Linked DNA regions of Sus scrofa. The protein of the gene in region 1 purifies or fractionates together with the protein of each later gene. This does not show direct contact. Links are inferred from orthologs where the notes say so. Each region holds a gene or a part of one and is shown in the gene's direction. Other genes may lie near its edges. The genes, in order: STX12, VAMP7, VAMP3, SLC7A1, VAMP4, NAPG and STX10.

Region 1 (4,126 bases):
GAGGTTTCCAGCCTAGGGGTCTAATTGGAGCTGTAGCTGCCGGCCATAGCCACAGCAACGCAGGATCTGAGCAGACCCTGTGACCTACGCCACAGCTCACGGCAGCACCAGATCCTTAACCCACTGAGTGGGGCCAGGGATCGAACCTGCAACCTCATGGTTCCTAGTCGGATTCGTTAACCACTGAGCCACACGGAAACTCCAAACTTCACTTTAAATAGAGTCAAATGTTAATGAAAACATTCTCAAGAAGATTTTATAGGTAAAAAAGTAAAATTTACATGATTTGCTATATGACATAAAACTATGGATTCTAAGAAATGGTAGGGTTTTAATAACCAGAATGAGAGCCCCTAAATGTCAAATGTCATCTGTCCTTTTCTAAAAAGAAAAAAACAAAACAAAACAAAACAAAAAACCTCTGTTACAAATGCTCTAACAGAAAATAGAGATAGCCTTGCTTACAAAAGTTCTAAGGCTGAATGCAGGCTCATTCACCCATTTGGGGTGTCCCCCCCAACTCAGGCAAGCAGCTTCCTGCCTTGGCTATTTCCCAGAGATAGTAAAGCAGACTTGGTGTGAGGTGCGGTGGAGAACACAGGAAACAAACACTGCCAGTTCGCCTTCACGTCTATCTTGATCTCCTCCCAAAGCAAAATCCTACCCCTGTATTTCCATTTATCATACGCTTACAAAATGCAGTCTTTTATGGGAACATTGAGGTCATTCACTCAAAATGCAAAAAAGGCAAAAAAAAAAAAAAAAAAAAAGAGAGAGAGAACAACTGAATTGCAGTGAGGGGTCACACATAATATGTGCTCAATAAATCTTACCATTATTATTATCGTTTTATTGTTTAGACTACGAGACTACAAGAGGGGTGGTAGAATGAGAGCGATTTGTAAACCATAAAAGTTCTCCACAAATCCTACCAAAGCCTTTGAGGCTGGAAGCAGAGTGAGGGATTTCAGGAGTTTGGTTACGCATCTGAGCTTCAAGGTTATCAAATTCTCCCATATTTGGGCCTGAAGTCTCAGAATAGAACAGAATAGGACGTTAGGGCTGAGATCATCTGGTACAATTTTATGCTAATCGAAAAATTCTTGCCTTCTTGTCACCGTGCCCTGGCGATAAACAACACCGCCACCCCAGATCCTCCAATCCGAGCCCCAAAGGTATGATGTCATCGCTCCGCCCTGCATCCCCAAGCCCCAGAGCGTCAGGTCTCCAAGCTACCCATCTCGGCACCAGTTCCAACAGCGCCTGCGCATTGTGGGGCCGGTCGGGTCGGGGACGGACGCGTGCGCGCCGCGAGGGGGCGGGGCTAGTGCGCACGCAGCTTCATCCCCTTCCCAGCCCTTTCTCTTCCCGGTTTCCCTGTCAGCCTGCGGGTCGGGTCTGGCGGCTGCTTCCGGTAGGAGCGCGGTGCAGGGCAAGTCGGTCTCGGCTCCTCGTCATGTCCTACGGTCCCCTAGACATGTACCGGAACCCGGGGGCCTCGGGGCCCCCGCTCCGGGACTTCAACAGCATCATCCAGACGTGCAGTGGCAACATCCAGCGGATCAGCCAAGCCAGTGAGCCGGGGTACCGGGCTGGGGGGCGGGGACCATCCTGGGGACAGGCCTGGGTGAGACTACCGGGACGCGGAGCCCGGCCAAGGCCACAGCCGAGGCCGTCTCGGGCCCTCCGCTCTGGGTGCGGCGGGCTGCCATCCTCGAGTCTGCCAGGCCCAGGCTCCCTGAGAGTCCCTAGCCCCAGCTGAAGCTCGAGTTTCTTCTCAAGAGTTTTGCCCTAAAGGTGTTGGGGCCAGGACTACAGTCCTGACAACTCCGGGGTGGGAGGGTGTATATGTGTCCTCTCCAGAGTACTAAGTGAGTCGACGTGGTGCAGTGGTCAGCCGAGTTTTTCCTGTCATCTGCCTCCCTCCACCCACCTCTCTTTCCTCTTTGGTCTGGGTCTGGAGTTGTTTACTGGTTTAGACTTTACTTTCTGCTCAGCTTCTGGCTTCTTGGACGTCAGCAGCTTTCAATTAAGGGAAGTGGAGAGTGCATATGTTTTGGTGATTTTAACCCAGTTCTTTCTGTAATGGATTTTGAAATCAGACACAATGACTTTAAGGGGTGAGATTCTGCTTTAATAAAGAGATTTCACCGAAAACATTTCAACTTACGTTGTCTTTGTAGCAAAAGATATGCATATATTTTTGGATTTCAAGCCAATGAGGGTTTTGTTTTCCTTCCCCATTTAGTTACTCTTTTGAACTAACATGAGACAGGCAAAGGGACTTAGTCTCCATCAGCTAGCAAGTAAGACATGGCAGAGTTGGTGGTGGATTTCAGAATGTCATTGCTTGTCTTAAAACTACACACCATCCAACATTAGGGTCTGAATGAGACTGCAGTTGAATGAGTCAAATACAAGCTATTTCTTGTGCCTGAAAATCAGCTCAGAACCTTGTAAACAAGAGGTCAGCAGCGACTATTTGGAAAGAATGGTATCATCATCATCCTTGTTTTTTATTGTGTTTTTGTGAGCTTGGTTGTCCTCTGTTAATAAGTAGAACTAGCTGGCCCTGAATTACAGTTATGTTCTATCTATCACTTTGCTTTAAATTTAAATGTATAATGTAGAATTTTGAGCTAGGGAAAGTTTCTGATGGAAAGCGTTTGAGCCTGGATGCTTGGAAAGTGGAAAGAAGAATATGTGGTCTATTAACTGCAGAAATTTCAAACAAAAATTAATATGACCACTGGTTAGAAAGTATAGTACTTTGTGTTCCAATTTCCTTTTGTGAGGGAGCCGTAGCCCAGATTAGATCAGAAAATTCTCGTTCAGGGCTGAAAGTTTCTTGTTGAGGCCAAATCTCATTTTAATGTCTATCTGTGAAATGTTCATTCTACTTCTGTTTGAGTATCAGGCATGTAGTATGTATAGGAACTGGCATGGGTTCTTTTAACAGGGAATCCGTGGCATACATAACAACCAAAATAAAAAGTTGAAAGAGATCAGTACTATAGAAGAAGTGTAATAAAATTATAGATATTCAGGAGAGAGACACCTTTTTCATTTGGGAGGGGCCGGGGGAGGTGTTTGGGCATTTGAGCTAGGTTTGGAAAGATGGTGGGAAGGATTTGAACTTTTGGCAGTTAAAGAAGAGAATAAAATGAACAAGGTGCAGTAGTGGGAAAGCGTGTGGTGTGTATAGAAAAGTAGAGTGATTTAATTTGGCTAGAATGGTGAATTCCAGAAAGTAGTGGAAAATAGGATTGGAAAGGTAAGTCGAGGCCCAAACATGGAGGACTGTAAGTGCTAAACTAAGGGGGCTTGGATTTAATTCTTTAGAAACATGTACATTGAGTTGGAAGGGAGCGACTGGAATCATGGACACCAGGTAGGAACTGAAAATGCAAAGAAGGAAGGAAAGGATAGGAGAGGTATCTTTGGTGATAGAATTGATAAAGTTTATCTGTTGATTAAGCAGGCATGAGGGGAGTTCCCATTGTGGCTCTGTGGTTAACGAACTAGTATCCATGATGATGTGCGTTTGATCCCTGGCCTTGCTCAGTGGGTTAATGATCTGGTGTTGCCATGAACTCTGGTGTAGGTCACAGACGTAGCTTGGATCTGGTAGTGTTATGGCTGTTGTGTAGGCCTGCAGCTGTAGCTCCAGTTCAGCCCTTAGCCCAGGATCTTCCATATGCTGCAGGTGCGGGCCTCAAGAAAAGTGGGCATCAGGCTCAAGTGGATAATTGAATTCAACTATTAATAACATTAATAACTGACATTTGAGTACATACTGTATGCCAGGTAATATAAGCTTTATAGGAGTTTCTGCTGTGGCTCAGCAGGTTAAGGACCTGATATCATCACTGTGAGGATTCAGGTTCAATCCCTGGCCTGGCTCAGTGGGCTAACGATCTGGTGTTGTTGCAAACTGTGGTCTAGGTCCTACGTGCAGCTCAGATCCAGTGTTGCCGTGGTTGTGGTATAGGTTGCAGCTGCAGCCTTAGTTCAACCCCTGGCCCAGGAACTTCCATATGCTGCAGGTGTGGCCATAAAAAGAAAAAAAAAAAAGTGCTTTACATGCATTATTTTACCTAATTTTGTAACAACCCCGTGAAACAAT
Region 2 (3,998 bases), on another chromosome or scaffold:
CAGATCATTTTAGTCATGATTTTGTGAATGTACTTCAGTTAGTCTATAGCCCACCTAGAGCTAATACTAGTAAATAAGGTATGGAATATGCTGTACATATTAGAGCAGAACAGTTTGTATAGCGCCTGTAAATGTAAGATCCTGCAAAGTTGAAGTATGGTAATAGTTGAAAATTGTCTTTATTTTAACAACATGGTTGAGAATTTTTTTGAATCTCAGTACTTAATTGCATTTGATTATCTTGAGATTTACATTTTATACATACACATATTTATCATTCAATATTTATTATTCTGCAAGTTGTCTATATATGTATGTCCATTCTCTATGTTCAATAGGATCAAAGATTATGCCTTAGGAAAATTACATTTTATTAAAGTATAGTTGATTTACAATGTTGTGCCAATTTATGCTGTACAGGAAAGTGATCCAGTCATATATACATTCTTTTTCTCACATTATCTTCCATCATGTTCTATCCCAAGAGGGTCTAGAATTTTGGCTGGAAAGGAGAGGTTAAGTCTGTGTGTGGTGAGGGAGGATTGGGGTTGAGAAAACTGACTTTGGAATGTTTTAGATGAGAGAAACTTTGACAATCTTTAAATGTTGAAAATAAAGAGCAAGTCATCAGGGAGCTGTTGAGTCATAAAACGGACGAATTTATTTCAGGAGCTAGACTTAGGTTGGTAAGAAATAGGGATGTAAACGGGACAGGGGAGCTTACATAAAAGAAGTTATTATTTTCATTATCATGATTATTGCAAAAGACTGGGAAAAAGGATTGCTGAGGGAATCCAAGGAGGTTAAAAAATTTCATGGCGAGAGTAGAGGGAGTTCCTGTCAGATGAATTTATCTCCTCTGTGAAGTAACGGGCTACCTTACCTGCTGAGACTCAGCAAGGAGATGGCAGGGAAAGCTCGGCTCTTCATCTATTCTGCAGACTCAGTGCCAGTGGACTCTCTGTGGCCCTGCGTCCTCTCTCTTACTCGAGGGACTAGCGCTTGATGTTGTTTGTGACAAGAGTTGTTGATGGACCGAGTGACAGATTCCGGGGATAAGCCAGAGGAAACTACCACTCCCGGAATGCAGTGCGGCTCCGGGAAGTGCGGGGGGCTGGGAACGCAGCAGGCCCCGCCCGCCTCTCGTTCCCATTGGAGGGGCGTTCGCATTCCCAGGAGGCCGAGCGCGGGCGGGGCGCTCTATGCGGAAGCCGGCGGCGTCTGGTCTATCTTCTTCTGGGAGCGGGTGGTCTGCTCCCAGTTGTTGAGCCGGGCAACTCTGTCCTAATCCTCGAGTTCTCCCAAAGGGCCCGGACAGGTAAAAGCAGCAGGGAGGGCTGGGCGGAAGGCGGGGAGACGACGGCAGAGGGAGGGAAGAGGTATCTGTGGGAAGGTGGAATTGGGAGGCAATGCAAGGGTGACTAGGGCTTCTCTGGTGTCGACAGTTAGAATTGTCGGGCAGCTCCAGTTTTGATGAAGTGCGTTCTATGCTGTTGAAAAGGCCTCGAGTTAAAGAGTCAGAGTGCGTCACCTAAGTTGTTACAGAAAATTTAACTTTCCCTCAGTTTGTATTCTGCAAGACCTCTCTGTAGCATTGGAATATCTTGAGATTTCTTAAGTCCTCAAAAAACTCCTCTCTACGCCCTTGTTTCGATGACGTCACTTTCTGCTTTACCTCCTACTTCTGGGCTCCTTCGTGGGTTTCTAGTTTTCTGTGTGCCCTTCCTCCAAGGCCCCTTGTTGACATTCTTCTTCTTCCTCAGTTCATATTGTAAACTCTGTATCTCTGCCCAGACCTATTTCCTCAGCTTCAGATCCGCATGATGTTCTCGTTATTACTATTGACAAATATTTAACAAACTGACCATGTACTAGGCTCTTTAGTAAATGCTTTACACCTTCCTCCTTCGCAACTTTCACAATCAGTTATCAAGTCCTTTTCTTTCTGTCTTATTAATTGTTCTCAACTACCTGTACCTCCATTGTCCTACCCTTGATCCCAGAGGATACTGTCATATTTGGGACATACTTTCCCTTTGAATAGCTGTGACTTAGAGAAGACCCACTCATATGTTTAACAAACATTTATTGAGCAGCTAATATGTGTTGGACACTCTTTTAAGTGCAAGGGATATACCTGGAAACGACATAGGAGATAGCTACGCTCGGTGGCTTACTTGGCTGTGTGTGTCGGGGGGCGCAAACAGGAAGACTCAAGATGATAGTATATGATGGTGTTGCTTAAGGCAAAATAGAACAGGTTTTTTGTTTGACAGGGTAGTCTCCTATCCTGAGAAAGTCGGAAGGATTGGGTTGGGTCTCATAACATCACAACAAAAAGAATATTTGTAATACCAACAAGAATAATGTTGATTTGTGACCAGACTTTAGGCTTATTATAAACACCTCTTCTTTTTCTCTCTCATATTGTTTGTTCTCTGTTATTCTGTCTCCTCCAAGGTTATTACATCAGAATTGGTGGTTTTTCAGTTACTGGCTTATTTCTTCCCTAACAAGAGTTGAGGATTGGATTACTCTCTCAGCTCCACTGCTCTATATTACTTAGGAAGATAGTTTGGTAATCAAAATATTATTCTTGCCAGGTCCTACTGATTATGAAATTATCTATCATTTATAATATATTTAAAACCAAAACATTCTCAGTGTTTTTAAATTTATTAAATATTTGAGGGAATATTATATGCCAGGCACTGTGCTGGACACTAGGAACCTAGTAAGGATAAAGTAGACACTTTGACCTCTTTTCCAAAAGGAAATAATTATATACTGAGGAAATTCCCAATACATAGACGGACACCTACATTCTTTCTTGTCTTCACCCAAGGTAAGATAATCATAAAACCTTTAAAAAAATCTTCTAAACAGTTGTGTACCTTCTTAAATCATTCACTCTTAAGATTTATTGCATTTATTTGCTTATGTCTGTCTTCCATATTGTACTATGGCTCTGTAGATGATAGACCTTAACTGGTCTTTAGTACTTCCAGTGTCTACTATATTGGGTGTCATAAAGTAAACCCTTAGAAAACATGTTGAACTGAAATAGGAAACCTGTTTGAGCAAATCTAAATTACCTAACTCATAGAAGCCTTTCTTTTCACTTATGGCCATTAGACTTATCCCTAAACATCTACATTTGCCAAATGCAGACCATTCCATCTCATCAGGCTAGTTTATTTATTTTCTCTAGCATGTTCTCACTTTTATGCCTTCTCTTGTCCTATGGCTCTCTCCTAAAATGAGTTCACATCTTTTCCCTGAGACTTTCCATGCCCCCTGCTTTTAGTTTAATGGGCTGATTTAATAATATGCCCCATGATACAAGGGTGAAAAAATTTAATTTCCATAATGTATTTCCTATGAAATATTCTGCTAATGAACTGTTGCAAGGCTTTAACGTAGTACATCTCCTTGCAATAATACAAATGATACAGAATGCTTTTTTTTAAATTTTGCATTGGCTATTACCATTACGCATATGAAGAGTTAATTCTTCCATTTCTTTTTTCTGTTTGAACAGTTGCACAACCTTTATTCATACAGCACATTTGGTCTCATTTGGTTTCTACTTGGTGCAAACACCTTTGAGTATTATTGTCATTTTCAGTGTGGAAGAATGTTAGATACAAGTTTCAGTTTTTAAAAGGTTTTTTTTTTCCATGCAGATATCTTTCAGTTGTAAATTATTACTGCAGAAGATAAATTTTGTCTTTTTAACTGACTGAAAAACACAACAGGCGTACAAGAGTGCTTGAGTCATGATTGCATTATGACTTTGGGATGTGCCAACCTAGGAGCACCCACACATGCTTCCAATACATTAAAAATTAAGTACTGTTATTTTAGAGAATTTCTTGGCACCTATGCCTTCGTGATGTAAATGCAGCACTGAATTGTGTGCCATCACTCACTTATATGATATACATGTAGATAATCCAGGATATTCATATACATCTTAATATTATAAAAATACAGAA
Region 3 (4,224 bases), about 16 Mb from region 1:
AGCTTCAGATCTGCTCAGGAAAGAAGAAATTTCTCAGAGCCACTATTCCTAGAATACTTGCTTGCCAACTGTCTTCTCCAGCACCTCTCAACACATCAATCACTTGTCTACGTGCAGAAAGTTGAAGACACGGATCCAAATTCACCTTTCCAGTTAAAACCCTCTGCAGTTTTTTTAAAGCCTTCCTTTCTGAGCATTTGGTCGCTCATCTCATTCCCTTTCACCACAGACCTTCCTGTCTCCCTGGTGGACCCTCTTCCTTCTGATCCATCCCGGGGCTACTGCTGGACAAGTTCTGGGTGACAGATCTGCCGCAATCCATGAGACTTCAACGGTTTCGAGAGCCCACTGTGTTTACATGCCATTCTCCTTGCTTGTTAGTCTTTACCTTTTATTCAATCTTATTTTCACCTGTGCCCTAACCTGCACCAGTCCCACCACCACCCGCACCTCCTCGGTCTGTTCAAACCAGGTCCATCTTGAGTTTCTTTGTCTATGAAAGGTTGTTCCTCCCATGCCTGGAAACTCTCCTTTTTGCCACTTGATCCAACTCAAATCTCACCTCCTCTGTCTTGCTTTCTTGTCTATTTTTATTTGTTCATGTAGTGATTTAAAATTTTTTCATTATAGCCTAGTTTACAGTGTTCTGTCAATTTTCTACTGTATTTCCTAATTTTTTTATATAGTGAACTCTCCTGTTTATTTTAATATACATCAATATTTCTTTTTCCAATTATCCCATTTAGGGTTGCAACAGACAGTTTGGTGTTTATTTTTTCATTTCTCATCGAATCTGCCGGTTGACCTCCCGGTGTTCTGTGGTGTTTGTTTAGTGTAGGAGTTGCCTGTGGTGGTAGGAATAATGTCAGGAGCAATTTAATACCTTGCAGAGTAACTCACTGAATTGGTGCCTGGGCCTCAACCCAAATCAAAAGCTGGGGACCTACTCCCTACTGGGGGGGTCCAGAAATACAGAACCATACAAAGCCCAGTTACTGATGTGAAGGCTCCTGTAAACGGGTTATAATAAGCTCTGTGCAATGACAAATATTTGTGTCACAAATGACTACACGAAGAGAGGGACCCTAGGCCCAATCAATGCCTCTGACGAATACCCTGAAGGAGCTTCAGGTCTTATTTTAAAAGTTTCCTGGGGAAATGCGGTGTCTCTAGCATCACTGGGTAAGACGCAACGTTAAGCAGAAGCCCATGGGCTGTCACTGATACCGTCACGGCCACAGGAATGACCCACGGGCCCAGAATAACGTAAAGCGCCCCCACCCCCGACCACCCACACAGTCCCTTTCCCGGGACTAAGGCTCCGGGCCCCCAGGGTCAGGGCGGCCGGCCGTGGGGGGAGGGAGCGGAACCGCCCTCCGGGCCCGCCCCCGAGGCGCCCCGCCCCTTCCGGCGCGCCCCTCGCCGCCGCGCACGCCCCGTCCACCCCGTCAGCCCCTCCCTTTGACGTCATCGGCCCCGCGCCGCCGCCACCGCCGCCTGCGCCTGGCCCCGCCCAGGTTCCCCGCCTCAGGTCCCGCTGCGCCTCTTCGTCGATTCTCGCCCGCTGTCGCCGCCGCCGAAATGTGAGTGACACAAGGCGACACGGAGCGACCTCGGGCCCTGGGGGCGGCGGCCAGTGGCTGGGACCCCGGCCCGGCTCGGCCTGGCTCCCTTCTGCAGCGTCTCGGACGCGGGCCGAGGCTTCGCGGGGGCTCCCGAGGCCTGGGGGTGGGCGGCGGGCGGCCCCGGGGATACGAGCTGCAGACGGGCCGGGTCGGCCCTGGGCGTTGCCTGCCGCCCCGGAGGGCCCTGCGGCGGTCGCGCGGCCGCGGAAGGGGCGAGGGCGGGGCGGCCGGTGTTTCCCAGCGGAGGGGAAAGCCCTTCCCCGTCCCATTTTCTCCTCCCCTCCCTCCGCCCCTCCCCGTCCCATTTTCTCCTCCTTCCCGTTCCAAGTTGACTGAGGGGAGCTGTGGCCACTGCCCTCGTCCTGGAGACCTGCTCGCTATCGGGTTGGGTTGGGCTCCGGAAGTTGCAAGGGAGGGGCCTTCAGCCCTGTCTTGAGGCACTTGCGGTCAGAGTGGGTCAGAGTGGACTCGGGCGCATAGCCGTAGGCCTTCTCTCTTTTTTTTTTAAGCCGAAGCATTCTTGTTGTGACCCTTGAAAGCGGGGAGTTTCCGGTGGTAACATCCAGGGAACTCTTAAGTGTCAAAAATCACAGGGAGCCCCTGTCCCCACTCCAGCCTGCTCAGTGCTCACCCCAGAGGAGAAAGGAATGGGTGCTTTCCTAGGGTTCCTAACGGAGCAAGAGACACCACTCCGGAGTGTATGTACCTCCTTGAAGCTGCCGTGCCGGCTCTCGGTGTGTGAAGTCCAGATCTGTAGAATTATGCAGAACCTAATCTAAACACAGGCGCCACTGCAGCCAGTGGTGTCAACTTTCTAAAGCTATTCATCTATAAAATGAGGTTAACAATAGTGTTCCCTCAAAGAGTTTTGGGGATTAAATGAGAAGATGCACCAACACATGGCCCTTTGCTGTTATCTCTCAGACAATAAACTCTCTGAGGGCAAGGGTGGGATCTCCTTTATCATTGGTCTTTGACACATGATAGATATGAAATAACTGTTGAATCAATGAATCAGTGGCTGTTATATGCAAGATAAGTGCTCTAGGTGCTGTCTGGGATACTGGAAGAGACGTGTAAGACACAGGAGTCGGTGATCTGTTAGAGAGGGCAAGACTCTATTAATACATGAAAAATCAAAGCATTGCCAACCAAGTAATGGAAGCAATTAGGACTTCCTAGCCTGCGTGGTCGTGAAAGGTCTGCCTGGGGAAAAATAAAGCTTTCAATGAGGGTTTAAAAGAGGCACCTTTTTGGAGTTCCTGTTGTGGCTCAGCACTTAGCTAACCCAAATAGCATCCATGAAGACACGGGTTCGATCCCTGGCTTCACTCCGTGGGTTAAGGATCTGGCGTTGCCACGAGCTGTGGTGTAGGTCGAAGACGAGGCTCAAATTCCGAGTTGCTGTGGCTGTGGTGTAGGCTGGCAGCTGTAGCTTCGATTGGACCCCTAGCCTGGAAACCTCCATGTGCTGCGGGTGTGGCCCTAAAAGGCAAACATACAAAAAAAAAAAAAAAGTACCTATTTAGCGAAGAAGAAGCGTGGCTTCGTCTTACCTTTTCCACTCCCAGTGCCTTCTACTCGGCATCTGGGTCTTCCCAACTCTGTTTCTCTAAGTGAATCTATTTCCTCATACTGGAAAAGGGCATTTTATGATTGTTTATACAATTCTTTGCCACAGCGAAAAGATCAGAAGATTGCTGAGTGCATTTAAGTAGACTTATACCTTCAAACAAGTCATAAAAAATGGGAAAATAGGAGTTCCCTTCGGGGCTCAGCGGTTAATGAACTTGACTAGGATCCATGAGGATGTGGGTTCAATCCCTGGCCTCGCTCAGTGGGTTAAAGATCCCACGTTGGCACAAGCTGTGGTGTAGGTTGCAGACGCAGCTCGGATCCCCAGTTGCAGTGGCTGTGGTGTAGTCCGGCAGCTGTGGCTCCGATTCCACCACTAGCCTGGGAACCTCCATAAGCTGCAGGGCGCAGCCCTAAAAAAAGGCAAAAAAATAGGGAAAATAGAGTTTACTTATCTTAGGATCAGGTGCTTTTGTGATACAAAGTAGATCCTGTTAAATCTCATTTCAGACCTTGATCACTTTTAACATGTGGGTGAATCTCTGAAATTATAGAGAAACTAGAAGAAATGGCATTAGAACCTTTGTTCATTACTGCAGGAAGGATTTCCTTTTTCCGCTTTAGTGCTGAAATTCCCAACACTGAGTGTCCTGGAGTGCACCTTCACACTTGGAGAAGTGTGTTTGGAATCCTCATTTACCCATGCTTGTGCCTTTACCTCAGGTCGACAGGTGCGCCTGCAGGTTCCAGCGCTGCCGCTGGCAGCAACAGAAGACTTCAGCAGACACAAAATCAAGTGGACGAGGTATTGCTTTCCAATGTTGTTGCATTTTAAGCCAAGATGGGAAGGCTTTGGAAATAATTCTGTTTAGAAAAAGTATCATAAAAGTGTAAATGTAAAGTAAATTTCGACTCTCACAAGTGTAACAAAAAAGTGCCCCTGGTTTTGAAAACCCTTATCTAAGCTCCTGAGAAGTCACGCTCTCCTGGTTTCAAGCTTGTTTTCCTGCCGCTGAATCACACA
Region 4 (3,500 bases), on another chromosome or scaffold:
CCAGGGGACGTGGCTGGTGAGGCCAGTTGCCCTGAGTTTATAAACAGTGGCAGACCCGGGACGGGGGCTTACCTTTTTTTCTGTTGGGCCACACCCGTGGCATAGGTAGGTTCCCAGGCCAGGGATCAAATCCAAGCCACAGCTGTGGCAACGCTGGATCCTTAACCCATTGTGCCACCAGGGAGCTCCTGGGGGAAGCTTATCTGATCGTGTCCAAGAAGACCTTCTGACCGAGGAGCGCAATGGACTGGAGAGATTGCAGCGAGGCCCCGGGCGCCCTGGAGGGAGACAGCTCTTTGTCTCCTGTTTCCTCCTTGAATTGTGTTTCGTGGCCCCGGGAGCAGGGGTGTCCCAGGCCCCAGGTGGAGGCTCAGAGGTGCAGGGTCTGTGCTCCTAGTCGGTGTGGTGCTGGCTCTGGTTCCTGGTTGGTTCGGGGCCAAAGAGCTGGTTCCTCCCTGTGAGAGTAGAACAGCCGGTCTTTGTACCTGGTCTGGCCTCGGCTGTGCCCCTTGGGCTCATCAGGTCGCCGGAGGTAAGGCGTTGGGCTGTCTCGGGGAGTGAGTGGTTGGCAGTGTTCGTGCCCTTGGCAGAGGGCACCGTGGTCCGTGCATTATTACATCCCGAAAGGAAGCTAGTTTTTCTCTGTCGTGTGACTGACTCTGCGTTCTTGGGCCTGATGGCAGGGGTCAGGTTCAGGAACCTCGTATGCCAGGATATCACCAGCGTGGCTAAGGATTAAGGAACCGGAAATGGTGTTTTTTCAGTATTTACATTTAATTTGACCTTAATCTCCTTCCCGCACTGATTAAGGGGCTCTAACCTTTAAAGGGACGGCAAAGTACTGGTGTCGCCAAACCGAGGATTTTACTCCTTTTCATTTGGCAGGAGGGGTAGATAAGCCTTGAGTTTTCTGAAGTCACCTCACACCGAAGAAGCCGGGCTCACGTTTCTCTGAGGGGGAGCGTGGGCATCTGCGGCTCACGCAGCGGGACCCCCCTCTGATGCCCCAAAGCCTCACGGCTCTTTGACTCTCTTGTTTAGGCTCAGTTGGCGTTTGGTTTAGTTGCAGTGGTCTGCATGGGCTCAACCAATACCTGTGGGAAGTAATGATTTGTTGTTATGTTTCAACTTGTACTGATTGCATGTGATTTGAAAACACCCCAATTTTAGCCAAGTTGTTGTTATTTGCTTTTTAGGGCTGCACCCGCGGCATGTGGAGGTTCCCAGGCTAGGGGTGGAATCGCAGCTGTAGCTGCCGGCCTACACCACAGCCACAGCAACTCGGGATCTGAGCTGCATCTACAACCTGCACCACAGCTCATGGCAATGCCAGATCCCTAACCCACTGAGTGAGGCCAGGAATCGAACCCAAATCCTCACAGATCCTAGTCGGGCTTGTTAACCACTAGGCCACGAAGGGAACTCCTAGCCAAGTTGTTTTTAAATGGGAAACTTGACACATTCCCCACATAAATAGACATGCATATTCTCATAAAAGTAACAAAGGGTTTTCAAATAAGCAGACATGTCTTGTTTTGTTGTAAGCGGGGTCGTGGTGAATGGGCTGGTCTTGCTTGGGAATAACGCTGCTCTCCATGCCCGACTTCTGGGTTAGGAGCCCCTGAGAGTCCTCCTGGAGCCCCGGGCTTGCCCTCAGCCTCCTCATCCCTCTGCCTGGTGATGCAGTGTGTCAGGGGATGTGCCTGTCTGTTCAATGGCACATACCTACCACGTAGCGACTGGCATGCTTTCATGAGTGCCATTGGCTGGCAGATGGATGATGGGTGGATGGACGAACATGTTTCTGGGTCAGCACAGTGTTGAGGAGACCATGCTGGGCTCAGAGCCGTGAGCACCTAGCTCAGATCCTGGCTTTTCCGCTTCTTAGCGGTGTGACCTTAGGTAAGTCCCCCAGCGTGTCTGGACTTCTCTTTCTCCACCTGTAGTGCAGGGAGAGCTCGCAAAATTGCCACAAGGGTCAAAAAGGGTCCTGTCGATGAAAAGCACTCTCACCAGTTAGTATAAACGTTGGTAATTGTTAGCATCTGTCGATCACTGTGTATGTGGTTTGGTCCTGAGCCTGCCTTTCCTTGAAGCCAGCCCCAGTGTTTTCACAGAAAGGGTGGCGGGTGGGGGAGCAGAGGCTCGCCCCTTGCGTGCCCTGGGTGGCGGGGGTGGCGGCGCTTCTGGTGCTGGCGGTCAGCGTGTGGCCGTGGGTCCTGACGGACGTCTCTTCCCTCCCCAGCTGTCATGGCCTTCCTCTTTGACCTGAAGGACTTGGTGGACCTCATGTCCATTGGCACGCTCCTGGCGTACTCGTTGGTGGCCGCCTGTGTGTTGGTCTTACGGTACGTATGGCCGGTCTGGGTTCCAGGACAGATGTGCAGCTGCCCCGTGCTAGCCTTGCTCATAGCAGTTCGTGTTAAACCATCGAGGGTTATACAGTGCACAGCTCGGTCGTTGGCAGCTCCTTTGGGAACTGCCTGGAAGACGCTGGGGCCGGGAGGTTGAAAGCCTGGGTACAGAGAAGGTGCTTGAAGAGGGTTAGGGCGGCCCCACCTCCCTCTCTCCCTCTCCCTCTCTCTCCCTCTCTCTCTCTCTCTCTCCCTCCCTCTCCCTCTCTCTCTCCCTCCCTCTCTCTCTCTCATGGGCCCTGAGTTTTCTGGCTGATGGTGGGTACAGACAGGTTGTCAGCCCTACTGCTGGGCCAGGTTTCTTGGGTCAGTGCCTTCGAAGGCTCAGGCTAATGATTTCCATTTGGTCCAGGTTCTTGGGACAGGAGGGACCTGGGGACGAGCCGTGGTGGGAATTGGGAGAAGCCAGAAACGTGGCTCCCTGTGATGCTTGCGTGTGTCCCGTTCCTGCCCCCGGAGGGACAAGCTCTGTTCCAGGGCCTGGAGCAGCCGGGGCTGAGGTCCAGGAAGACGCTCGGGTTCCGGCTTTCAGCCGTGCATGAACCAGGCCAGCCCCGTGGAGGCTGTAAGAAAGCAGCTCCGGGCCCAGGCTTGGTGTCCTGGGCTTCTCGCTGCCGCAGTGTCCCCTTTAAACTAAGCACATCTCCGGTTTTCTTTTGCTCCGGGAGACAGGGCCCTGCTTCCTCACACCCAGGAACGTCCCCAGGCTGCGTGCGTCCTGAGAACGTGCGCTCGTGGGGCTGCTCGGTGTTGGGCCCCTGGCCAGAGCGCCCTACTTCCTTTTCAGGAATGTATGCTTCACGGCCTCGGAATCCGTCCCCAGTGCGCTCCGCGGCTAGGGTATCTGGGTTGAGCGTCAGCAGTGGCTGTGGAGAATCCGCTGAAACTAGTCTGCTGGTTTCTGACCACTTTTTCCATCCTGAGAGCTCAATGCTAGAATCTTCTCTGAGTCCCCCACCCCACTCCTTTTCCTTTTTTTGTCTTTTGCCTTTGGTCTTTCCAGGGCCTCACCCGCGGCACATGGAGGTTCCCAGGCTAGGGGACCAGTCAGAGCTGTAGCCTCCAGCCTATGCCACAGCCACAGCA
Region 5 (4,223 bases), on another chromosome or scaffold:
CAGATACAAAATCAACCGTAGAAGGCAAACGAAAAATAAAAAACTTCTGGGTCATCTATGTATCAGTAGTCTGACCTTCATGTCCAGGCAGAAAAACATAGTAGAAGTAACTTCCCTTCCAGGTGGACAATTTCAGTCCAAGTCAGCCTGGATCTGAGTAGTGGACTCACAGATAGTCTAATACCAGACTTTCAGAAGCTTTGGTTGACAACCTATGGCTCACCGTTTCTCAACATCCCAGGCCAATTGAATTAGAATCTCAGAGAAAGGCATGGGCACTCATTGTTAAAGCTTTCCAGGTGATTCAGTTTGGAGTTCCCCAATGGCTCAGTGGGTTACAGATCCAGCATTGTCACTGCTGAGGCTCAAGTCACTGACCCAGGAACTTTCGCATGCCCCGCCAACCAAAAAAAAAAAATCAACTCTCTACATCATTAACCTGAGAGTCATTACCCTACCTAAGGTATATTTCAATTAGTGTTTGTTTGGCTTAAATTACACTAAATCAAAAAACACTGTATTAAAGGAGCCATATTTAGTAAAAAAAAAAAAAAAAAAAAAAAAAAGTGGAGCAAATTGGTAGAAATAAATTGATAAAACAATCCAGCTGGGGCGTGTGTGGGAGGAATGGGTAAATAAGGGAAAGCAAAGGTAAAACTAGAATTATTTTGTATTACTGAACCCTGGTACTGCAGGCTTAAATATGCTACTAATTTGGGTGGAGAGGAGGTAGGAGGAGTCAAGAGAACAGTGGAAAGGCCCTGCAGGAGTCATCTTCCACCTCAAATCTGAAGGCTCTGGTGTCTACCTGGTGTCTGGACCCGGTTATTTTAGGTTAGGACTCCACAATAACAGATGAAAGAACACCGAATCCTCGACCCAGATCTGTCCAAACTAGTTGTGCAACCTCAAGTCAATCTCTTTGGACCAGAGATTCCTAATGTCTAAAACAAGGAGACTGGACTGGTCACTTAAGATCTCCCTCCAAGTCTAACTCTGATTCTATAAACAAGGGATCACACAGATGTTACTTCAGAAAAGGCTGTAGCCGGTCCTCGGGCTTTGAGCCATCCTCATTTTTCTGCTCCGCTTCCTTAGCCCAGGGGATGGAGCCAGCAACAAAACACCATCTTAGTAACGCCTCATCAACCCCAGTCAGGATCAAGCCCTCAGCGCCCACCCCTGGGTGACTTCTCAGAGCTTTCTCTACCTCTCCTGAACGCCCGACCCCGGCTGGGACCTCAGGAACCCGCGACTGTTCCTCGCTTAAGGCACAAGCCCATCCTGCGGATGCAGATGTAAACTCTGAGACCGCAAAAACCTCTGGATAGAAAGCTGCACGCGGAATCGACTCCCTCGATGATCTCCGTGGCCTGGACCCGCCCCTCCTCCTGGCGCCGGGACGCGGAGCGCCGATCGACTCGATGAGCGGGGGCGCAGCTGCGGCGGAGCGGCTGACGCCGGGTCCGCGCCCACTGTATCCCCCTCCCTGTTTTCTCCCTCCGCTTCCCACTCCTTCCCCCGCCCGCCCAGAGCTGCCCGCCCGGGAGAGCTGCTCAGAGCTACCGGGGAGATTCAGGTACGGCCGCACGCCTTGTCCCGAAGGGAGGGGCTCATGTGCGGAGGAAGGAAACGGAGATGACTTCCCTGCCCCGCCGCCCCCAACGTCCGCGTCAGGCTGGGGGACCAGCCTCGGGGGTAGTGGAGGGAACCCCTAGTGGGAAAAGGGGTTGGACCGGGGGTGCCCTGAGTAAGAATGACAAGGACTGGGGTGTGCAATGGGGGGGAGAGGTTTAAGGGGGAGAAGATTAGGAATTGTAGGGTGCTCTGGGGAGATGGGAAGAGAACAGTGGCGAGGATGGGGAAGATTGCAGAAGAGTGGGAGTCAGCCCGGAGTGTGAGCAGGTATCTTGGGGCAGAAAGGACTAGAGGTAGGAGCAGATGTTGGGGGACGTGGCCTGGTGCGACCGATGGAGTATAGGGGGTGAACAGTGCTGCTTGCTGGAGAGACGGATTTGTTTCATTATTCAAAGGCTTGAGAGAGAGCGCCAACTCCGCTACATTTATAATGACCGGAAGGTGGGGTGAATGTTACACTTTGACAGGTTTTGTGAATAATATCTCCAGGCTTTGGCCAACCAAGTCAGTTATTTCCATGAAGCTGCACGAACCAGGCTGTCGATGAGAGATGAGGAAGAGGAGTCAGAAAGGGAACGAGGCTGAGAAAACGGAAGCCTCTGCCAGATTCAAGCTTTTTGTGAAATGAAGTACTGGGAGTTGTGGTTTGCTTGTTTTTGTAAAGCAAAAAAGAATACAGCATTTATTAAACAACAGGTTAGAAGTTTATTACGTATAAAGCAATTGAATACAGAACGTACTGCCTCTTCAAAAATACATACATGAAATTGTAAACGTAGGATGACATAAAAAGCATATGGTGATGTGACATTTTAAAAATGTGTTGGTGTCTCCAGTCAGTGTTGAGATACATCATGAAGGCGCTCTTTACATTTATACCTAGACACAAACACCTGAATTCATATGTATTTTGTGCAGGAGAAATCTTAGGTAGAAAGAATATGTATAAGTCTAATTTCTGAGCATGGTTTACTTCTACTTGTTTGGTACAAATACCAATTGCTCTGTGGTTCATCAAGCAGTTAGTCTGCCTGTTCTTTTGCTGATGGCTTTTATGTTTGTCAGTGATTTCTTGCCTTCCTGAGGCTGATCCTTGGATTATGGGACCTGATTTTGGGTTTGCTTATCACTAAACTTGTAGCTCTACTGTATATTTCATAAAGATGTTATGTAAGTCTGCCTGTTACTTGCTTTTGAACATGGCAGTAGCCCCTTTGTAGGATTTAAAATATAAATAAAATACAGATATAATTAAAAGAAAAGCTTCAGTAGCTTCCCTTGTCTGTTTCTCCATGCATTCTGTAACATTTCTGCTTGAATGAGTTATTCTGAAATCAAAGTACGAGGAATAAATGGGTCAGATGCCAGATGTACGTGACAGAAATATTGTGGAATGAAGAACTCTAGAGCTATTAACTTAGGTAGCAAGTATTTGGTTTTTGTTACAGGTGATTTAAGTTTCTGGTTTGGAAAATCGTCTCATACCAAAGCAAAGTGTTTATCAGTTTGTTTTGATGGGAAATCAACTTAAAATTTTACTTTATTTAGTTTATGAAACTGGACTCTGGGCATGTTTATTCTTTTTTAAGTGTGTAATATTAACCAACAAACTGATGTCTACTTAAAGATCTTAGGGGTGTTCTTATAGAAAGGAAAAGGGGGCTGCTGGGTTGTTAAAAGAAAGTGGTCTTTCCAGAACAGAACTGTGTGTAACCTGATAACTAATTGGATCATTAAAACCAATCATACACAGCAGTTGGTTAATTTAGTCCTGTGTTTCTGCTGTTTCAATCAACAGAGCGATTAACACTATTAGTTGCTTATCTTTTACTAAGCCTTAGTTTTCTCTTGGTTTCTTAGTGTCTACTTCCCAGGCATGTTGTAAAGAGTAAAAGAAAATATGTGTTAATCACTGAACACAGTGCCTAACACATAGTAAAACATTCAGTACACCTTAGCTTTTCTCATCTATCCATCTTCTAGTCCATCATACTAAAAACTCATATTTTCATATATCAGCTTTTCCTCAAGAAAATTTTGAATATGTTGCATACTCAAGCATTTTCCTGAAAAAAAAAAAATCACAGGGCATGTTAGCATATAAAAGGCTATGAGACTTTGTATAGCAAAACAAACAAAAAAATTGACTTTGTTGGAATTCCCACTGTGGCACAGTGGGTCAAGAACCTGACTGCAGCAGCTTAGGTCACTGTGGAGATGCGGGTTCAGTCCCTGGCCCAGCACAGTGGGTCAAAGGATCCGGCATTGCCGTAGCTGTGGCATACACTGCAGCTGTGGCTCACATTTGATCCCCGGCCGGGGAAATCCCATATGCTGCAGGTGTGGCCATATATAAAAACAAAACAGGGGTTCCCACCGTGACTCAGTGGTTAACGAATCCGACTAGGAACCATGAGATTGCAGGTTAGATCCCTGACCTTGCTCAGTGGGTTAAGGATCCAGCATTGCCATGAGCTGTGCTGTAGGTCACACACGTGGCTTGGATCTAGCATTGCTGTGGCTGTGGTGTAGGTCGGCAGCTGTAGCTCCGATTAGACCCCTAGCCAAGGAACCTCCATATGCCA
Region 6 (4,229 bases), about 13 Mb from region 1:
GTCCCAGTGGGATTCAGAACGCACTACCCCAAAGTACGGCTCCTTGGCATACTGAAGGGGTTCAGCTGGGGGAACCTGAGAAAGAGCAGGTGCAGGCAGGTTTGATTCCTCCCTTCTCCCATGAGACCCTGTAAGGGAGGAAAAAGTTCTCCTCAACCCTCTTAGGCCCCTGGCTGGGTCTGAACATGAAAGTGACAGACAGATTAATAGGAGGAAAGACTACAGATTCACTGAACAGAAGTTTTAGGTGATGTGGGAGCCTTAATAAAGAAATTATGACTGAAGGACCAGTTAGACTGTGGATTTTCTGCTGGGTTCCATGTGCCAAGGTGCCGTATTTGGGGACAGCGTTTCCCGAACCCCATATACCCTATGTGAGAGATGAGCTACCTGTACCTGGAGGACAGGAACACTCTGAAGACAGAGGTGCTGAAGGTGGTGAGAACAAAGGCCTTGCTAGTTTCCACAGGTCACTGTGCTGGGCTCCTGCCCTTGTCCCATCGTGTTTTCCCAGGACTTTCCAGCCTTTAGCACAGCAAGCATAAAAACACAGGAGTAACCACTTTTGCGGGTCTTCATTTCCTTATAAAGGCTCTCGTGTCGCACAAAACCTCTGTTAAATAAATGTGTGCTTTTCCCCCTGTTCCTCCATCTTGCCCAGTCTAGTTTACAGAGTCACACCTAGAGGGCCCAAGATGGTCCAGGAAGAGATTTCGCCCTTGGATGACTGGTCCAGTGAAATGCAGTTCAGGAACTTAGCTGCACCAGGGCCTCCTTGACATGTATGAGCACAGATTCCAGGGACGGGTCACGTTAGCATGTTGCTGCTTTGTTTTTCTCCAACCACTTTCAATTGCTCAGAGCAGTTCCAGTCCGTAGAGAACAGGGGCTTTTCCATACAAGGAGAAAGGAAGAGGGCCAGGGAGGCTGATGCACACGCAGAAGAGTAGTTACAATGATGGAACATGGAGCTTATAATGGGTAAACAGGGAGGTGTGAACAGGAGCAGAGGCCAGGAAGAGGTGGGAGTTCTGCTGAAGGTGAAAAATTATCAGAGCTAGAAGACAGCAAGAAATAAAGTGTCTGCTTGAAAGTGATGCGTCGGGGGCACAGTCACTAGTAATTAGTTACCCATGACTGGTAAGGTCGAGGGTGTGATCCTGGGGATGAGAGTATGAGCTAGTTGGGTGGAGACCAAGGAGCTGCAATGCTATCGCAGAATCACCTTGCAGGTGTTGAAACCCCACGAAATGTGAGTCGGACACGGAGTTACTGTTATTTCTGCCAGACCCTTGCTGGCGAACCTCGCTCCCGAACGTCACGGAGTGCTCACTTCTGAGCATCTGTCAGGGGTTACCTGACGGTGACCGACAGGCGGTAGGGGCGCACATGTAGTAAAAAATAAACGAGTCTATGCGGTCACGGATCGCAGTGCCAATGCGCTTTCAAGGGAGCGGGAAGCGAGATCCACGAGGGCCGGACTCGGTCTCTCGTTCTCCCTGGCGACCTGCCGGCACTAGGACAGTGTCTGACGCATAGTAGGTGTTCGACAAACCGGTGCTTGACGAACGAATGAATGAGAGAACCTCCCTCACTACCCACCACTGCTGCGCATGGAGACAAGCTAGCGGCCAGCTCGGGCGCTCTGCGCCTGCGCGGCGTTTCCTGCGCGGCTCCCGGGCCGCTTCGCCGCACTTGGTTTGAGCCCTGCAGGCCCCGGTGGAGCGGCAGCGGCGCCGTCCCGGCCTCCTCCTCGGCGTTCCCACGCCCACTCGGCGGGCTCTCGGCCTCCACGTCAGGGCCGCACCGCGGAGATGGCGGCGCAGAAGATAAACGAGGGACTGGAGCACCTCGCCAAAGCAGAGAAATAGTGAGTGAGAGGCCCAGCGCGGCCCAGGCCGGACGCCGGGGCCGGGCCCCTCCGAGAGCTGTCCGAGTTAGCATCGCGCGGGGGGCGCAGGGGCGGGCGAGCGGGGCTTGGGGGGGTGGGCGCTGGCCCGGAAGCGCTACCGTCGACCCGGAAGTTGTCGCGGCTCGGGTGATGGGGGCAGTGGGGGCTCTTTGGTACCCCGGAGCCCGGCAGTCTGGGGGCTCCCCCCACCTAGGCCGGTAGCCCCTCTTTTTCCTCAGTTAAGGTGTCCCCTGGTCCCTTGGAAGCTGGCAGAGTCGTAAGCAGGTCGTCACTAACTGAAGTTTAGAATTAAAGATGATGTTCATTGGGCAATTTGTAAGCACACCTAAGCTTGACAGTCACTAAACTGTAAGCCTGAAATTATTCTGAAATTAAAGTATTGCAGAAAGGGCAGGTTAGATAAGGATTCAATCGGATTGTACTTTGGTGTGGCGTTTGAGATGCCAAGTAATCCTGGAATCCTGGAAAGCAGCTTCTGTCTTCCAGTCGTCCTCGTCTTTCAGGTGGTCCTTCCTGTCCCCTGGTGGCTCATTGGAGTCTTTCTTGCTGACTCCCTCTGTCTCCCTGAGTGTCTTTTCTGTAGTCTTTCTGGCCTTTCTCTGCAGTCTTCCTGGCTTTTCTCTGCAGTCTTCCTAGAGAAACTTATGGGGCCCTTGGTGTGGCATCTGCTGATGACTCCTCGGTCATTCTCTGGCCTCTCCTGTGCTGCAGTCTCACAGGTCCCACTGCTTACTTATGTGCTTCAGCCCTTCTCAAGCTTTAATACTTCTCAGGGCTTTTTACACCCTGGATTGCCGCCGCTATTCCAGAGTGTCTGGTTCGGTAGAGCTGGGGCTCGCTCAGTGACTTACACTTTCTTGTACGCTGCCAGGTGGTGCTGCTCCTGCTAGTCTGGGGACCGTGCAGGAAGACCCTCCACTCTACTTGGACAGACATTTCAAAAGGGGGACAACTGTGTCTGTGACAATGGGAGGGGAAGGTAGTGAGGTTGTATGTGATTATCAGTAAGTTTCAATGGAGCTGAGTGAGATGGTGACTTTGTAGGGATGGTCCCCTCCCCCCCTTTTTAATGAGCCCATCAGAGCCTTTACAAGCAAGGTTCTTAGGAATGTGATTGGCCCATGGTCCCCTGCCCCCTTTAATGACCTATAAGGTGCTTACAAGCAGGGTTCTTACTTATGAACGAACATGGTTGGTAACTTGTGTTAATTGTGTCTTCTTTTCCTTTTAGCCTGAAAACTGGTTTTTTAAAATGGAAGCCAGATTATGACAGTGCTGCTTCTGAATATGGAAAAGCAGGTATGAGTGACTGTAGCCCAGTCCTTGTGGTGTGTAATCTTGACATGGGCTGCTCACTTCATCTCGGTATAATTCTTCCTCCTAACGCATCCTGTAGCATTTTAATTGTTTAAAAGACAAAACGAAACTGCCTGAATCCTTGCACTTGTCCACTTGTTTTCAGATGTCTTGAGTGTGAGCTGCAGATTCAGTGGCCTCTGCCTCTCCTGGGATGGCAGGATGGGAGCAGGGGATGCAGCTGCGCTTTTAGCATCCTTTATATGTTCTTGAACTTCATTCAGTTCATACTATCTCTGAGAGTTTTGTCATGTTCTTCTGCTACCTGTTATTTTGAAAGATTTTTTCTATTTCTCTTTTCCTTCCTTCTGTCCTTCCTTCCTTCTGCCTCACCCACAGCATAGGGGTTGAGTCGGAGCTACATCTGCCAGCCTATGCCACAGCCACAGCAATGTTGGATCTGAGCCACGTCTGCAGCCTACATCACAGCTCATGGCAATGCTGGATCCTTAACCCACTGAGCAAGGCCAGGGATCGAACCTGCATCCTCCTGGATCCTAGTCGGGTGTGTTAACTGCCGAGCCACAAAGGGAACTCCCTGAAGATTTTTCTCATTGACTTTTTAAAACATCTTAGCCTCATTCTCAGTAGAGCTGCATGCCGTGGCTTGGCTCTTGTTCTTTTTGACCCTTCCACGGAGGTGCACCGATGAATGTTTATGAAGTGTTACATTATAGGCATATATTAATATGTTTATATGCATGTAAGATAAAAATGATCTGGAATTTGCAACCAAAAGAGAATTATTAAAAACTTAGCATTTTAAGTTATGGGAGATAGCTTTCAGCATATCCGTGATTATTTGGGTATAAAGCATAATACAGTTTTGAAACACCCTGAACACATTTTACTGTGTTTCAGCAGTAGCCTTGATCACATTTGTTAGCCTCGCATTTAGTGTTAGTATGTCACCAAGAAAAAAGAAATCAGGTAAGATGACACTAATCAGCAATAACAGCAT
Region 7 (4,079 bases), on another chromosome or scaffold:
CACAGAGAGGAAGGAGAAAGTTTCGCTTCCTTCCCTCCGGAGACCGGGAAGATGTGACGCCCCTCCAGAAAAGCCCCTGCTGGCGTGTAGGGGCTACCTCACTGTTCACTCTGACGCCGTATCCCAGAGATCTACACAAAGACCTTGCCAACTCAAGCAGCTACTCCCTGAGGACTCTCATTCTGGTCCCCTCCATGGAGATCCTGCCCCTCCCCTTAAAGTGATCCTCCTTTGCACCTCTGGATCACGCTCAGGTCCCCCATCTCCAACTCTGACACATGGGGGGGTCAATTATTCTCTCTTCTAAAAGACTTCTCCCAAAACCGCTCCCATTCAGCGATCCTGCCATATATTACTCGCTGAGAACGTCCTCATCCCCGCTCCCCCACACTCCCAATCCCACGAAACTCCACAACGACATCCCCCGCCCAGGCGCTGTCTCTGACACACAACAGGGGCGACCTTCTGAGGGTTTCTTAAGATAGCCCGCTCCAAGAATCAGGACCCCACTCGGGCAACGGTCCCCCCCACCAATAAAAAAAAAATGCTTTCTCGGAGACCCCACACATAAAGGTTCTGTCGCACAGGCGGCCACCCTGAGTCCCTCTCCAGACATTCCCTGGTCCCACTCCACGCGCAAAGGACTTCATTGCAGGCTATCTTCAGAGTTGCCCCCACCACACTCCCTCCCACGACCCCCAGGTCGCACCCAGAAAGATCCTACCCTCCAGAAGCATTTCCAGGGCCCCCATCCAGGGCCATCCTGCCCCGGGATGCTTCCCTCCTCCGCAGGAAAAAAAGAGGAGGGGTAAATCAAACAGAACTCGTCACAGAATGCCTGCAGTTCACCCTGGCCCCGCGGGAAGGTGGAGAGACCACCCATCCCCATACTGCTCCCCAAACCTGTCACACCTGACCCTGGGCTGGAACCATCTTCCAGGACAGGATCTAGGTGCAGGAGCATCATAAAGATGATCTACTAATTGAAGGAGCCACTTCCCCAGCCATAATCTGACCGGATTTGAAGGAGACTATTGTTATTTATATTGCCCAGAAGGGAAACCATGGTTGCGCAGCAACAATCCGAAGGCCTGGGTCTTCAACCAAGGCGTAGGGAGCTCTGACTCGAACCCAGCCAGACAGAACTGACACATCTGTGGACCAAGATGCGAAGAGGAATAGGTACGGGCAGGAAGCCGTTTCCGCCCACAACCAAGATGGCCGAAGAGAGAGCGGAAATTTCCACACTTCGGGCCTCTAAGGCCTCTCTTTCTCCCCTTGTGGCTCCGCTCTCGTTGGTGGCCTGGGTCACGTGACGGGAGCGGGCGGGTGGGTGACGGCGAGTTCTGCATTGCTTGGAGGGAACCTGCGTCCAAGGCCGAGAGGGGAGGGGGCTCGGCCTCGGGCGGGTGGGAGGCGTGATATGTCTCTCGAAGATCCGTTTTTTGTAGTACGAGGGTGAGTGACAGCGAAGGGGGAGGGCAGAGGGTGTCCTGTCCCCCTGCCAGCCAGTGCCCGGGTGCCAGCCGGAGCGTGCCAGGTATTCTGGGCACCACCGTCGGGATTGCCCCGTGGCCGTGTGGGAGGGGTACACAGGGGGATATGAGGGTCTCGTGAGCCCCCAATTCGTTTGGGTGCGCAGTATGGGCAGGAAGACTGCCTGCCCCCAGCTGTGCCCGCTGTGCCCCTGCCTGCAGCGAGGTGCAGAAGGCGGTGAACACAGCCCGTGGGCTATACCAGCGGTGGTGCGAGCTCTTGCAGGAGGGCGCGGCGGTGGGACGCGAGGAGCTGGACTGGACGACCAATGAGCTGAGGAATGGCTTGCGCAGCATCGAGTGGGACCTCGAGGACCTGGAGGAGACCATCGATATCCTGGGCGGGGGAGGCTGGAGGGCTGCATGGCAGAGCCCATTGCAGTGGCAGGGGGCTCTGGGAGCCAGCCCTTGGGGAGGCTGGACACTTAGGAGATGTCGATTGAGGGCTTTGAGGCAAAGGAGGGTGTTCTGTCCTGGTCTGGCCTTGACTCTTTAATCGAGGCTTACGCATTGTGGAAGCCAACCCAGGCAAGTTCAAGCTCCCAGCCGGAGACCTGCAGGAGAGAAAGGCGTTTGTGGAGAGGATGCGGGAAGCAGTCCAGGTGAAGAGAGTTTGCCGTGGGGGTGACTGTGGGGAGGTAGTGGTGTCTTTATTCAGATGCTGTCCTCATCCGTAGGAAATGAAAGACCATATGGTCAGCCCCGCAGCCATAGCCTTCATGGAGAAGAATAATAGAGAGGTAAGGAGTCCTGACCCAACATCCTTACCCTCTGTCCCTAGAGGTGACCCTCTCCTTGGAATGCAAGCCTGAAGCGTCCATGTGCATTCACCAGTTTCCTGTGTATGTGTATGTCTGTCCCTTCTGCATCACGGCTCATCTTCTCTGTGTGCAGTTGTCTACCTGCCTGCTCTTTCTGGATGTGTACACCTGAGCTCTCTTCTCTGTATATAATCCTTTCTGCCTTCTCCTACCGGTCTATACTGTTTTCCTGTGTGTGAATGGTGGCCTCTCCTTTTTTCACTGTGTTACTGTTTTCAAGATACATGCTTACCTTTTTTTTCTTTTAATCTGTGTTTGTACCTGACCTCTCTGAGCATGTGAACTTGGCCTCCAAGGGGACTCACCATCTGCCTTGTGCATGCACACCATTTCCCTCTGTGGGTGTTTGCCCCGGGTGTGTGTTCACTCATACGTTTTGTGCACATTCTCCCTGCTGTCTCTGTCTGTACACCTTTGCCCATTGTGTTGTGTGTTCTTTCTCTGCATGTTGTGAAACACCAGCCTCACCCTTTAAACCCACATGGGGTGTGGGGCGGGGTGGGGTAGGGGGCTGAAGCCTCAAGAGCCTGGAGTCCTATAGCAGGGTCCACATGCTTTGCAGGTGTGCTGCTGCTCCGAGGATTTAAGTTCAGTTTCTTAAATACATGTGTCTATGTGATAATATATGTTCTCCATGGATTTAATTTATTAAGTCCTCATTGCAGCCTGAGGAAACAGGAATTACAACTCTTCTCATCTTACAGATGAGGAAACTGAGTCACAGGGAAGTCAAGTGATAGGGTCTTGGGGTCACCTTGCTGTAAGTGGTGGCTCTGAGGAACCCACACCATTCCATTCCAGAAACTGCCTTCTTGACTAACCATTGTCTAGATTTGCCACAAATCTTGTCTGTCTCTGCCGTGAGTGGGTGTCGCTCCCTGAGCCTGTGGTCTGGGCCCCCACAGATGTTAACGGGCAAGCCAGCCACCCTGAAATCATCCAGCGACTTGCTGGACGCCAGTGTGGTGTCGGCCACCTCTCGCTACATTGAAGAGCAGCAGGCTACACAGCAGGTTTGTGTGGGTGGCTGGAGGTGCTGGGCTGGAGGAATCTGCAGCAGGCTCAGGGCTCCCCACCTACAGCAGTCCCCACCCCTCCCATCTACAGCTGATCATGGACCAACAGGATCAACAGCTGGAAATGGTGTCTGGGAGCATCCGGGTTCTGAAACACATGTCTGGCCGAGTTGGGGAGGAGCTGGACGAGCAGGGCATGTGAGGCCGTGACCCTGGGGGTGGGCCAGGAGCCCTCAGCCCTTCCAGGGGCTGATGCCCTCCTGATCTCGGCAGTATGCTGGACGCCTTTGCTCATGAGATGGACCACACCCAGTCCCGGATGGATGGCGTCCTCAGGAAGATGGCCAAAGTATCCCACATGACCAGTGGTGAGTCCCCTGGGAGAAGCGATTTGGCAGTGGGATGAGGGGGGGAGTGGGTTGTGGGTAGGACTGCCTCACCTCTGTGAACTCTGACCCTCTTGCCCCCAGACCGCCGACAGTGGTGTGCCATTGTGGTGCTGCTGGGGGTGCTTCTCCTGGTCCTCATCCTGTTCTTCTCTCTCTGATCCTGGTCCTCCCCCAGGGCCTTGGAGCTGGGGGCGCCGGCAGGGCCCTGCCCATCCTGGGGGGAGAGGGTCATGCCTGGGGAGCTGTCTCAAGGCTCTCATCCAGAGCCAATAGGACCTCAGGGCCCTGGCCAGAGCACCCACCTCTGGTCCTGTCTCA

Evidence for each region.
Region 2: the proteins of STX12 (region 1) and VAMP7 purify together in Homo sapiens (affinity purification with mass spectrometry; 3 studies listed by BioGRID and IntAct, counting the BioPlex papers as one, with this or other methods). This does not show direct contact. The link is inferred for Sus scrofa from reciprocal best matches to the Homo sapiens genes STX12 and VAMP7.
Region 3: the proteins of STX12 (region 1) and VAMP3 purify together in Homo sapiens (affinity purification with mass spectrometry; 3 studies listed by BioGRID and IntAct, counting the BioPlex papers as one, with this or other methods). This does not show direct contact. The link is inferred for Sus scrofa from reciprocal best matches to the Homo sapiens genes STX12 and VAMP3.
Region 4: the proteins of STX12 (region 1) and SLC7A1 purify together in Homo sapiens (co-immunoprecipitation; 3 studies listed by BioGRID and IntAct, counting the BioPlex papers as one, with this or other methods). This does not show direct contact. The link is inferred for Sus scrofa from reciprocal best matches to the Homo sapiens genes STX12 and SLC7A1.
Region 5: the proteins of STX12 (region 1) and VAMP4 purify together in Homo sapiens (affinity purification with mass spectrometry; 3 studies listed by BioGRID and IntAct, counting the BioPlex papers as one, with this or other methods). This does not show direct contact. The link is inferred for Sus scrofa from reciprocal best matches to the Homo sapiens genes STX12 and VAMP4.
Region 6: the proteins of STX12 (region 1) and NAPG purify together in Homo sapiens (affinity purification with mass spectrometry; 3 studies listed by BioGRID and IntAct, counting the BioPlex papers as one, with this or other methods). This does not show direct contact. The link is inferred for Sus scrofa from reciprocal best matches to the Homo sapiens genes STX12 and NAPG.
Region 7: the proteins of STX12 (region 1) and STX10 purify together in Homo sapiens (affinity purification with mass spectrometry; 3 studies listed by BioGRID and IntAct, counting the BioPlex papers as one, with this or other methods). This does not show direct contact. The link is inferred for Sus scrofa from reciprocal best matches to the Homo sapiens genes STX12 and STX10.

Annotation. Positions count from the first base shown.
Region 1 is NC_010448.4:84,917,501-84,921,626, forward strand, and holds the start of STX12 (syntaxin-12), read left to right. Parts: upstream 1-1,326; 5' UTR 1,327-1,456; coding exon 1,457-1,574; intron 1,575-4,126. UniProt on the Homo sapiens protein: SNARE promoting fusion of transport vesicles with target membranes. Together with SNARE STX6, promotes movement of vesicles from endosomes to the cell membrane, and may therefore function in the endocytic recycling pathway.
Region 2 is NC_010461.5:125,862,105-125,866,102, forward strand, and holds the start of VAMP7 (vesicle-associated membrane protein 7), read left to right. Parts: upstream 1-1,198; 5' UTR 1,199-1,318; intron 1,319-2,773; 5' UTR 2,774-2,845; intron 2,846-3,998. UniProt on the Homo sapiens protein: Involved in the targeting and/or fusion of transport vesicles to their target membrane during transport of proteins from the early endosome to the lysosome. Required for heterotypic fusion of late endosomes with lysosomes and homotypic lysosomal fusion.
Region 3 is NC_010448.4:68,472,497-68,476,720, forward strand, and holds the start of VAMP3 (vesicle-associated membrane protein 3), read left to right. Parts: upstream 1-1,424; 5' UTR 1,425-1,581; coding exon 1,582-1,583; intron 1,584-3,923; coding exon 3,924-4,005; intron 4,006-4,224. UniProt on the Homo sapiens protein: SNARE involved in vesicular transport from the late endosomes to the trans-Golgi network.
Region 4 is NC_010453.5:6,545,655-6,549,154, reverse strand, and holds part of SLC7A1 (high affinity cationic amino acid transporter 1), read left to right. Parts: intron 1-2,245; coding exon 2,246-2,348; intron 2,349-3,500. UniProt on the Homo sapiens protein: High-affinity, low capacity permease involved in the transport of the cationic amino acids (arginine, lysine and ornithine) in non-hepatic tissues.
Region 5 is NC_010451.4:114,172,169-114,176,391, reverse strand, and holds the start of VAMP4 (vesicle-associated membrane protein 4), read left to right. Parts: upstream 1-1,423; 5' UTR 1,424-1,579; intron 1,580-1,661; exon of another isoform or gene 1,662-1,750; intron 1,751-2,105; exon of another isoform or gene 2,106-2,334; intron 2,335-4,223. UniProt on the Homo sapiens protein: Involved in the pathway that functions to remove an inhibitor (probably synaptotagmin-4) of calcium-triggered exocytosis during the maturation of secretory granules.
Region 6 is NC_010448.4:97,972,175-97,976,403, reverse strand, and holds the start of NAPG (gamma-soluble NSF attachment protein), read left to right. Parts: upstream 1-1,429; 5' UTR 1,430-1,814; coding exon 1,815-1,870; intron 1,871-3,143; coding exon 3,144-3,211; intron 3,212-4,229. UniProt on the Homo sapiens protein: Required for vesicular transport between the endoplasmic reticulum and the Golgi apparatus.
Region 7 is NC_010444.4:65,912,853-65,916,931, forward strand, and holds the start of STX10 (syntaxin-10), read left to right. Parts: upstream 1-1,279; 5' UTR 1,280-1,423; coding exon 1,424-1,458; intron 1,459-1,697; coding exon 1,698-1,867; intron 1,868-2,042; coding exon 2,043-2,137; intron 2,138-2,212; coding exon 2,213-2,275; intron 2,276-3,261; coding exon 3,262-3,369; intron 3,370-3,463; coding exon 3,464-3,570; intron 3,571-3,645; coding exon 3,646-3,740; intron 3,741-3,842; coding exon 3,843-3,919; 3' UTR 3,920-4,079. UniProt on the Homo sapiens protein: SNARE involved in vesicular transport from the late endosomes to the trans-Golgi network.